3 linked regions of the Arabidopsis thaliana genome follow. The protein of the gene in region 3 purifies or fractionates together with the protein of the main gene of each other region. This does not show direct contact. Each region holds a gene or a part of one and is shown on either strand. Other genes may lie near its edges. The genes, in order: PGM2, PGM3 and TIM.

The links.
Region 1: the proteins of TIM (region 3) and PGM2 fractionate together in Arabidopsis thaliana (co-fractionation; one large-scale study listed by BioGRID). This does not show direct contact.
Region 2: the proteins of TIM (region 3) and PGM3 fractionate together in Arabidopsis thaliana (co-fractionation; one large-scale study listed by BioGRID). This does not show direct contact.

What each region holds. Positions count from the first base shown.
Region 1 is NC_003070.9:26,671,397-26,675,151, forward strand, and holds the start of PGM2 (Phosphoglucomutase/phosphomannomutase family protein), read right to left. Parts: upstream 1,771-3,755; coding exon 1,696-1,770; intron 1,487-1,695; coding exon 1,250-1,486; intron 1,030-1,249; coding exon 948-1,029; intron 853-947; coding exon 797-852; intron 644-796; coding exon 530-643; intron 411-529; coding exon 348-410; intron 202-347; coding exon 82-201; intron 1-81. Other genes in the region: AT1G70740 (Protein kinase superfamily protein), read right to left, coding at 2,451-2,897, 2,979-3,165, 3,302-3,536, 3,636-3,755. UniProt on the Arabidopsis thaliana protein: Catalyzes the reversible isomerization of alpha-D-glucose 1-phosphate to alpha-D-glucose 6-phosphate. The mechanism proceeds via the intermediate compound alpha-D-glucose 1,6-bisphosphate.
Region 2 is NC_003070.9:8,218,197-8,221,951, reverse strand, and holds the start of PGM3 (Phosphoglucomutase/phosphomannomutase family protein), read right to left. Parts: upstream 2,145-3,755; 5' UTR 2,007-2,144; coding exon 1,929-2,006; intron 1,341-1,928; coding exon 1,259-1,340; intron 1,172-1,258; coding exon 1,116-1,171; intron 763-1,115; coding exon 649-762; intron 514-648; coding exon 451-513; intron 306-450; coding exon 186-305; intron 100-185; coding exon 1-99. Other genes in the region: AT1G23180 (ARM repeat superfamily protein), read right to left, coding at 2,437-3,068, 3,143-3,333, 3,431-3,471, 3,552-3,605, 3,708-3,755. UniProt on the Arabidopsis thaliana protein: Catalyzes the reversible isomerization of alpha-D-glucose 1-phosphate to alpha-D-glucose 6-phosphate. The mechanism proceeds via the intermediate compound alpha-D-glucose 1,6-bisphosphate.
Region 3 is NC_003071.7:9,072,742-9,076,496, forward strand, and holds the start of TIM (triosephosphate isomerase), read right to left. Parts: upstream 1,730-3,755; 5' UTR 1,706-1,729; intron 1,012-1,705; exon of another isoform or gene 794-1,011; intron 604-793; 5' UTR 366-603; coding exon 171-365; intron 1-170. Other genes in the region: AT2G21180 (uncharacterized protein), read right to left, coding at 2,215-2,610.

The sequences.
Region 1 (3,755 bases), on a different chromosome or scaffold from region 3:
ACCAGCAAAAAAACATGATTAGTACAAATACAAGATGAAAAAAAGATGATGACAGGTAATAAGATCAGAAATGTTAGGTACCCTGGGTAGATCTTCCGCTATTGGGTACTCCTTGATTGTCTTTGTGTTCTCGTAAATCTTATCAGTGATTGATTCAGGAGCTGGTCCACCATTTTCCATATTGTACTTAATTCCGAAATCCTGTGAATAGAATAGCAGGAAATCAGCATATGGAAGCAGAGAGATGAACATATAGTTTAACAAAACTGATGCTAGGATTCAAATAATACTAAGTGAGGGTATCGAATGAACAAGCACAAAAGAGTGAGAACAAAAAGAGAACTGACCTCAGTTGGGCCACCAGGATTATGACTTGCTGTTAAGATAAATGCTCCTGTGGCTTTAGATCCCTGAAATTGGATCTCGGGTTAGTTTCTCATCACGTCATTACATGTTGCAAACATGCATAGCCTTAGATAACAACCCAAGAGAAAAGTAAGTAGTATGAGTTTAGAGGAAGATATCTCACATCAGCCCCTACTCTTTCACGAATAATAGCTGATACTGCAGGAGTTGATAGCAGACTGTTTTGACCAACCCACACACGTCTAACACCATTAGCTGCTGCCATCTTTACTATAATCTGTCCAGATAGGAAATAAAGTGGTATTGACGAACTATCTTTTTTATGAAATAAAAGATTCAAAACAACTAAAATAAGAGTAAAGTGTCTAAGAATTATAAGTTAATGCAAAACGCAGTTTGCCATCATTCAAAGGACATATAAAGCTTTTACCTGAATAGCTTGCTCTGAATAATAACGACCATCACCAGAAACCACAAGTGTCGCACCTGAAAAAGTTAACAAATACTCTTTCTTAGATGGAATTTGCAATCATCGACCTTTACCTGAACAACAATCAAAGAGAGGTAAGAGAGATCTTTACCTTTAACTTTCTCTGTAGTAAGAGCATTGAACGTTGCCTGGACAAAATTTTCAAGGTAATTTGGTTGCTTAAACACTTTCACCTGTAAAATTACGAAACAATGCGTAAATTCAAATCTCATCGGATCGGATCAAATTGTTAAAACCAACACACAAAATTCATTCAATCCATAAGATCGGAACTAAATGAAGAAATCAATTTCGTTGCGAAGATCTGAATTTAGAATTCAAATCTCTAATCCAATTTCGAAATAAGAACGCGGGGATTGATATAACAAGGAGAAGAAGCGAAAGCGAACGAACCTTCTTACGGAGTCCAGAAGTCCCAGGTTTCTGGCCATCAATAGGCGAAGTAGAGACGAGAGAGACCTTGAACGACACCATTTCAAATCTGAAGAAAATCGAATAAGCCTGAAGATGATAAAATAAAAGCCTTTTTACACAGTGAGTCTGAGGAAAGGAGATGAAGAGGCTAAACGAGAAGGTGACGCGTGTGGCTCGTCTCTTTTCGTTTTTTTTTTTGGTAGGATCTCTTTTCGTCTTTTAGTGGACCTAACTTTTTACCCAAAACGGGTTAGTATATATATTTTATTTTTAATTTCCAATAGAGCCGAAACGATTACAAGGCCCAACAAGCCGACAGAGGCACGAATGGCCCAAAGAACATACATGGCAATAACTGCCTAAAAGGACACGCAGGCCCTAGAACTAGAACCTAAATAAAACAACGAGGCCCAACCGGGCATTACCCCAAAAATGAAAAGAGAAACTTTAACTGAAGAACCTGAATCAGGTAGAAAGCAAGAAGTAACCAAGAGGAACATTAAAGCAAGAAGTAACCAAGAGGAACATTACGTTGATGTCTCTGATGATTAACACTGACGGTCTGTGATTCTTTGGCGAAGTTCACCTCTAGAGTGAACCAATTTGATTCACCCCCTTTTTAATGACAAATCAAAATACAACATTATGACATGTCATACTTTATTTAAAAATAAATGAAAACTAAAATTTGAAAAAAAAAATTAAAGAAACAAAATCTGTATATTTTAAATTAAAGAAAGTTAAATATATGTTTGTGTATTTTCTCCACTAATTTCAGTTAGTATTTCTTTTACTATCAAAATAATTGTTTACAAAAACCCTTTTTATAAATTTTAACTGAAAAATAATTTAAAACGCATAAAAAACATTTTAGTTTTATGTTTTGTTTAAAGTAAGGTACCGTTAATACGTACAAGAGAATATGCTTTTATACGTACGAGGCCAATAGTGGGGACCTAGATAATGGGACTACAAGTGATTATTCTAATATACAAATGTAACAAATGAATCATAATTTTTTCCCGCTAATATAACAAATCATACTACAAAACTAAATCACTACTGCAGTCAAAAAAATAAATTAATTTACTTTTCAAAAGCAAAATTAAATAAATTATGAAACAAATATTATATATGCAGCTCGCTATTTACAATCACCTATGACCAGATTTTATGTACTTCAATAACTCATATGTCGTTTCCCGTGAGGGTCTGAGCTAGAGCTCTGACCAGCACTTCTAGTGGCATTACTCCGAGTTGAAGCTTTAGAAGATGCGGGGGTACCTCTAACACCAGTTCCCGTGTTTGTGTTCAGGTTTGAACCGAAAGAATCTGTGCTGGAACCAGTGGTCGACAATGTTCCAAGTGATGCTGCTCCTGAAGGACGTTGTGTTCGCCGACGGTATCTAGATCCCGGGACACCAGGATGATCCGGTTCTTCTAGATGTCCTGGTTTTCTAGAGAGAAGTAGAGATACCCGTCTCATGCTCGGTCTTTGATGCGGATCGCCTTGAACGCAGAGTAGTCCGATCTGTACACAGAGTTTGACTTGATCTGGATCAGCTGAAGCTGCTATATCTTGGTCTAGTATCTCCATGGTCCGGCCTTTCTTGTACAACTTAAATGCCTGTGTCACATTCAGAAAGAATTTAGCATTGGTTATATTACGCTGAAGAATATTGGCTGGGTCAGGCCATCACACAACAACCCTATAAACAATGGAGCATGAGACTAGAGGCTTTACCCATTCAAGAAGAGTCTGGTCAGGGTGTCTCATGCTAAAACTCGAGTTCTTCTGTCCACTTACGAGCTCCAGAACCAAAACCCCAAAGCTGAATACGTCTGCCTTTACCGATAGAACCCCGTGCATTACGTACTCTGGCGCCATATAACCACTGCGCATAAGAAAAGAAGAAGCAATGGACGTTAAATAACATTCTACCATGAAACACCAACAAACAAAAAGAGTTCAAATGACACAAGAAGATATGTAAATGAGCTTTTTAAGGGTAAACAATAGAGAGAGCATACTTGGTTCCTGCAACACGAGTGTTGACATGTGTTACATCTTCCTGATAGAGTCTAGCCATCCCAAAATCTGCAATCTTAGGAACCCATTTTTCATCCAGCAAAATATTGCCAGCCTTAATATCCCTGTGGATGATGCAGTTTGGCGCGTCTTCATGTAGATAGAGCAGTCCTCGAGCAATGCCTGTTATGATCTCAAACCTCTGCTTCCAATCTATCTCCGATTTTCTGTTGGATTCTGCATTCAAATGAAGCAACCACTACATGTTAAAACCATCTTCTTTCAATATCATTTATCCTAATATACAAACCAATCTCATTGAGAAGAAAAACTTACTGAAGAGGACCTTGTCGAGGCTCTCATTAACGACATACTCATAAACCAAGAGCTTATCATCTCCATGTGTACAATAACCCCAAAGATTAACAACATTGCGATGCTGAACTTTAGCCAACA
Region 2 (3,755 bases), on a different chromosome or scaffold from region 3:
CATTAATTTAACGTAGTCATCTGCGGGATCAAAAACTTCAACATCAAATTTTCCTTCAGGTCCTTCAAAACTGGTTACACCAACAGCAGAAATATCAACCTGTCGCATTCATCAGATAGACCAGATCAACTATGATTCAACAAAAGACAGATGATGGAAATCTATAAGAGGATTCTTAAGAATACATTGGGTAGATCTTGTGCTATTGGGTACTCCTTGATTGTCTTAGTGTTCTCGTAAATTTTATCAGTGATTGATTCAGGAGCAGGTCCTCCATTTTCCATATTGTATTTGATTCCAAAATCCTGTACAAGGGGTATGGAATCACCTCTTAGTCTTATTATCCATCTAGATATCTTATTATTAAAAAAAGAACAAATAAAGAGATACAAAACGAATAGTTCAAATGAAAGGATAGCACAGTAGAGATGGAACAAGAACAGAACGGACCTCAGTAGGGCCACCAGGATTGTGGCTTGCTGTTAAGATAAATGCTCCAGTTGCTTTCGATCCCTGTAATCGGAGACTGGGGTTAAGTAACTCAAAACCATCATTACATTTTGCGTCATGCACAAACATAGCAAATAACCAAAAAAAACAAAAAACAAAATGTCACTACAACCATGAGCATAGAGAAAGAAATCTCACATCAGCCCCTGATCTTTCACGAATCACAGCTGATACAGCAGGAGTTGATAACAGAGTGTTTTTACCAACCCACACACGTCGTACACCATTAGCTGCTGCCATCTTAATTATGATCTGTTAAGATACAAAATAAAATTGTATGAAAAGCAGTAAAACATCTTCATCTGTAACAGTATGAACCGGATTTGTAATAGGAGTAGATCAAACAAACTTAAGTTTCAGAGATTTCAAAGTCAAACAAAACTTTAACTTCTATAAACCTCTAATCTCTCTATAGAGGTTTCGATGCAAATTTTAGAGATGAACACAAAGAAAAATAAGCAAGGCATTGATGATAATAGCAGGCCTTCCTAACACAGGAGTTCCCTCCAAAACATTGTAAATACATGAGCACTAATTCATAATTCTATGGATACGCCAATTACATTCACACAGATCCAGAAGACAGGGAATATCATCGGCCTTACCTGAACAGCATCCTTTGAGTAATAACGACCATCACCAGAGACCACAAGTGTGGCACCTGCACATATGAACAATAAACACTCATGAATTTTTCGAATGAGCAGATATCTCTGAGAAGCTAAGATGAGTATGAAAAAAATCTCACCTTTAACTTTCTCCGCCGTAAGAGCATTGAATGTTGCTTGGACAAAATTCTCTAGATAATTGGGTTGCTTGAACACTTTCACCTACACAGTTAGAAAAAAAAAAAAAAATACTAATCAGAGATACAAAAAGATGCTAGTTTGATATCTGCAGAGAGTAGAACAAACAATCGACACTCGATTGATTGGATAAAATGATCAACCCAAATTTCTTTTATCAAAATATCTGAAACAGATCTGATCAGTGAGTCTCAATAAACGTCATTGCAGATCGTATATACGTTAAACGAAGATCTGACAATAACAACTAGGCTCTTCCCTAGTTTCAATTATACACAAATTCAATCCATATAGTCTCCATTTCGCTACACCAACTCAAAAAACGTAATTTCAAGCTCTATCAAATCAACATTCACCACATAGAAGCGTCCCAAACATATACTCAAATCAAATATAATAAACGTGATCTCGAACTTGATCCAAATAAAATAACGAAAACGAAATTTAAAATTTGTCATCATTCACTAATCAATATAGATTAATGCATAGATCAAATCTAATCAGATGGTCAATCTCACTTCAAAATCACACTCAAGAAAATCTAAACAGATCTGATCCAGATGCAACAATTCGATTTCGTTTGATTCAGAAGACAAGGATCGATCAACGAACCTTCTTACGAAGACCAGAAGTTCCTGGTTTCTGGCCATCAATAGGAGATGTGGATACGGTAGAAACCTTGAAAACCATATTCGCTTTGAGAAGAACAAAGATCAAAATTTGGACGCAGAGAGAGTGATGATGATAAAAGCAAGCAGCTCTTAAATAAATTACGCAAAAGAGAAGCTTGCTTAAAAGCTAAACGATCCCAAGACACGTGTAACCAAGTGAGTGAACTAGAACGTTTCTCTCGTTTTCACTGACACAGTAAGAAAATCTCAGCCGTTGGATTGTATTTTCAGATTTTAAATTCATTTTTGCTTGCGTAACATTTCAAAGATTAAATATTTGATTGATCATGTGTAATCTCTAGAATATGGTAATAGTAATATACGTGCTACGTAATCCGATTATCTTAATGTAATTAACTTTTCGTATATTCGTCTCACATGACAAATCATACATTATATTATTCTAATTGATTCCAAAATTTTACATGACAATAATCTGTAAAAATGTCTTAAACGGGTAAATTTCTGAGTAACCGAAGAGCTTTCTCCCATTGTGGTCGTTGAGACATAACGATACGTCTCAATACTGGTACAGCTCCTGCTCTTATGATGGCTGTGTGGTTCTCACTGTCCATGGTTAAGTTGTACAATACTGACAAACTCGCTTCAACGCACCGCTCGTTCCTTTCTTCAAGAAGCTTAACCAGCGGTTCGATACCTCCTTGTGAAGCAAGTGTTTGGATAGATTCTGGAACTCCCTCGGAGACTATCTTGTTCAGTTCTAAAACCGCTGCTTCTTTCGTTTCTGGTGATGAGGAAAAGCTCATTTGTTCCACGAGGCTCGGGATCGTTTTGTACAGAGTTACCTCAAGATTGATCGGATTGTTGAGGGATTGAGAGGGAGAGGAGAGAGCGGTGAGTTTGACAAGACAAGCGGCAACCCAGTCTTTGTAGTGTAGAGGGAGGCTTGATCTTAGGATCTTCCTTACTAATTCTATGAAGACCGCGGTATCTATTGTTTGGCGAAAGGACTCGGAGTCAAGAAGTTTTGTCAGTAGCCTTGAAGCAGCGGAAATCGTCAAACCAGCTTCTTCTAGCTTAAGCAGATGTTTCTCTAACTCCTCAGCTTCATTCTCAGGTTCTGCATTTCCATAAAAAGTATTGTATGCTGTTATAAAATTCAAACAGAGTTATATCAAAAGATAAGTTTTGTACCTTCCAGGACTTTCTGCCGGAGAGCAAGATCAAGAACAGTTGTGATATCCTTGGAGATGATCGTGTCCATGTTTGGATTACTGATTATACCAAACTCGATGACAGAGATTGCGTTTCTTAGCAGGTTCGGAGAGGCTGTTTTCGCAATCTGGACGAGCCGAGAAAAAACAGCAGCGTCCAGAACTTCCTTTCTGTTCATTCCCATCCGATGTTTTGAGTAATTAATACTTCTAAAAAAACAAAAAGAATGAATGAGCTGAAGATAGGAAGATCGAGAAGAAGACTGACCTGGAGTCTGCTTTTGATCCGTTCACCGGTCCTTCATAAAACTGTAGCATGTAGAGAAATAGCATAAGCCAAATGAAAGCAGATTTAATGTATAATAATCAACCTTGGAAAATAAACACACCTTGGATTCCATTTCCTTGCTAGGATCTAAGATATGAGCAATTATATCCAGAACCTGCATAACATAGTTCACAAAATACCATTTCACGTCCAGTTATTCCATAATAGCCTAGACAAAGATATCAAAGAACAAAGGAAGAAGAAAATGAAGTCATACGTGTTCTGTAACGTTTAGTGAGATCTCTGGCTGCTTCAGAAGATTAAT
Region 3 (3,755 bases):
AATCAATTGAAGACTGAGGAGATTTGAGATTATTGCCAAAAACAATTTAGAGAATCTGGATTCTAATTGATACCAATCATGCAAGTAAAAGGAATAACTTTTCTCACACACTCAATCCTAAACAATGAGAATCTAGCATTTCAATAGAGTTTGAGGGTTAAAGTTGGAACCTTTCCGGATCCAGCCATGGCAACAACACCTCTGGGGGAGCGATGAGAAGAAGAAGAGGAAGAAACGAGACGGGTAGAGGAATTGACGCGGTGGAAGAAGGATTGGTGGGAGGAGACGGCGGCAGCGTCGAGCTTGGGAGAAATGCGGCGGAGACCGGAGAAAGAAGGAGGGGCAGTGAGAGAGGTAGCTGCCATGTCGTCGGGTTTGGCGTGTAGTGAGTGGAAAAAGGCAAAGAGGAGAGATAGAGACGAGACTGTGACTCTCTCAGCTTAAGGTAGCAGAGGAGATAGAGGCGATGAGAGGGTTGGTGGTTGTGCTCTCTCTCTTACTCTCGAGGGTAATTTTGTCTTTCTCGCACTCACAGATGGTATCATCAAGCCTCGTTCTCACGCGCCTATGTCACGTCTCGTTGCCACGCGCTGTAGTCCAATCCTAAGATCAGGTGCCCAAAATGGTCGATGAATAATCATTTCATTAACACTGTTTCCGTCGAGACGTTTAACTAATTAGTACTACTAATTTCTAAGATTGAACATATAATAATTTGGTAAAAGTATTCCTAAGGGCCTAATTTGTAGGTATAAATTTTTCTGTGGTCAACAATTAGTCACTATACTTGCCGGAGAAGGCATAGGGATGGAACACTAAGTATCCAGCTGTTCAGCCTGTCTTTAGTATGGAGCATGTGTCTCTTATTAACCCAAGCAATAAAAGCATGCTTGAGAATCCTTCCTTTAAACCAAATAGCCTTATACCAGTCCACTCTTTCCCCTATAGGGTTCAAGTGTAACAACGTCGCAGCCCACTTCCTCCAACTTTCCACATGAAGTGATCACTTTGCGGTCAGCTTTCAACATGAACCGTATGGCCACTTTTCTGTGAACTTTCCATCTTAAAGACATTTTATCTTACAGTTTGGTTCCAAATATTTCATTCCAATTGTCAAGCAACAAGAATAGCTTCTAATGGTTAATTGTAATACTACTCTTACTCTTGTAGAGATCTTTGTTATTCATTTATTAATATATATATATATATATATATATATATGTTTAAAGTTAAAAGTTTAAATATCGAGAAAAAATTTGTTTTGAAAGCTCACGCAAAGTGGCTCTCTGGTAACCACCATAGTTTGGGTGAGAATGATCCATTATTTTCTCCTTTTTGTCCAAACATTGATTTCACCACCGATCAAGTTTCATTGGATCTTTTAAACGGTATATATTTTACTGTTTTGATAAGAAGCTACCAATCAAACCTAAAACTATCAAAATGGACTAGACCAATATTGACCATTTCGATTGTGAACAAATAGTGATTATGTCTATTAACAACCATGTCCGTTAATCATAATAAAACATGTTTTTAAAAAGGTACAAAAAGAATTGAGCACACTGTTTAAGCATAATTATTTAAACAAATGTCTAAAACAAATATCTGAAGACAAATTTGAACATAAAAGTTTAGAAAACAAAAGTTGTCAAAATATCATAATACGAAATCCAAAGACATATATAGAACTCAAATTTATCACCTGATGAATCTCTCTCAAAATCACAAATGGTTTTTCCTCTTCAACATATAAACATTTGAACTAAAAGGTTATAAACACGAACTAAAACTGTTGTGAGGCTACGCTCTTGAGCCATATAGTGCCATCACATGCGGTTTGGTGGATCATTTGTGTATGACGATTAATCACGATTCGTAAAATGGAGGTGACAACTATATGAATATCATGCATTGATTGAGGATGTATTCAATACAATTCAATTCATAGGGTCTTTTAAAAACTTTATCGTAAATGCATTCTTGAAAATGCAGTTTTTGAAAAATATCAACGCCATACTTCTTGCTCAAAGTATGAATTATCAAAGTATTGGGCAACGTGTAACCAAGAGACAAGCCGATATTGGATAACATGTAGTACCGTCACGAGATTTTAAACCTCGTAATTCGTAAGTAATGACCAAATTTTTACATCATCGTGCTACTAGACGACAAAACAAAACACGTGAAAATCAAAAAAACCTATCAATATCATTAACCAGACCACATCTCCAAGAAACTTGATTGATACTGAAGCAATACAAGCAACAAAACTATCAACGCCGCCACTCCCCACGGCGAGCTTCCACCGTCACCTCCGGCTCCGGGACTCACGTAAGTTGTCCGACGACTGCTTGAAAACATCCCGAGAAGCGCATCAGGGTTCTCCATGGAAGATAACCACCGGACCAAGACTATAAGAAACAGAGGAATCAAGAGAAGCGCAAAATTTATCTGCTCTTCCGCTGATTCGGCTGCTTCTTCCAAGCTGAAGTACCATGAACTCAACAAGAACACTGAAGCAACGGCTAGGATCAAAAGAACTGGGTATGGTAGTGGCGATAGCGAGAATGAATCCAGGATCGATGATCTTCTCTCTTCATAAGCCATAGTTCCTAACTTCCTATAATAATGATGATGAGAGAAGGTCTTCTTGGTTCTTTTATGTGCTGAGGGAAACTTATAGAAACCGACTTTAGGTTATAATATTATATGTTTGACCGACAGATGAAAGATTATATTAATGTTTTTGTTCAAATTCATTACCAATACCATCTGTAATTTAAAGATTAGTAGTTTGGTCTATTTTCTTAAGCAGTATGTACTTTAAATTTCTTTTTATAGAAAGTGTAGAATTTCTAACACGTTATTTCGACCAAATAGTTTTATATCGACTAAGCCAAATTCTATTAAAAATACGTATATCCAACTCGGATTAATCATTAATACCATAGCAAATTAGTAGGTTATTAACTTCGAGTTCTTTGCTTAGAAAATAAAATATAGTGCCATAATGTATATTAGATATAGTATAGAAACCATAAACATGAACTCAGTTTCTTATGTACAAAGATTACTATTTCGTGTTTATTCTTTTACTTGATCCAGTTCATCCATAAAATATCCAAATTCCAAATAGTTACATAATTTCATTTTCCTTCAGAGTTATGTTTTTGGAAATTTGAAATGTAAAAGATGAGTGTATATACAGATAATAAAGCTAACGTGGATACAGAGAATTGGTCATTTCTAATTAAATATTATTAGTTGCTTCTCTCTTTCGTAATGGCCAATGGGCTACACCTAGACGATTGTAGGTGGAGCGTCATTATCAAATTTCCTTATTTTCCTTTGCTTCAACTGTTATCATTAACCACATCTTCCATAAAATTCAACGATGACGTAAAAGGATTTGACCTTTTACCCTAAGCACCTTAACTCTAATCTGCCTAATCTCAAATTGACATAATTTACTCTGTTAATTCACAGCTTCTTTCCTTTCCTAATTACATAATTATAAAATATCGCAATAAACATTTACTATTCGGTTCCGTAGATTTTGATATTCATTATTTTAGATTCCATTATTTTGTATAGTAAAATGGAAATTTAACTTTTTGGAACACAGGAGAGTTTTGCCGTATGATTGAAGATAGAGCATAATCGATCATACAAATATAATAAATCAAGGTTAAGGTTAAAATTGAATATTGTAACCAATCACGTTCGTCAAATCCACCTAAATCGGTGCTTCA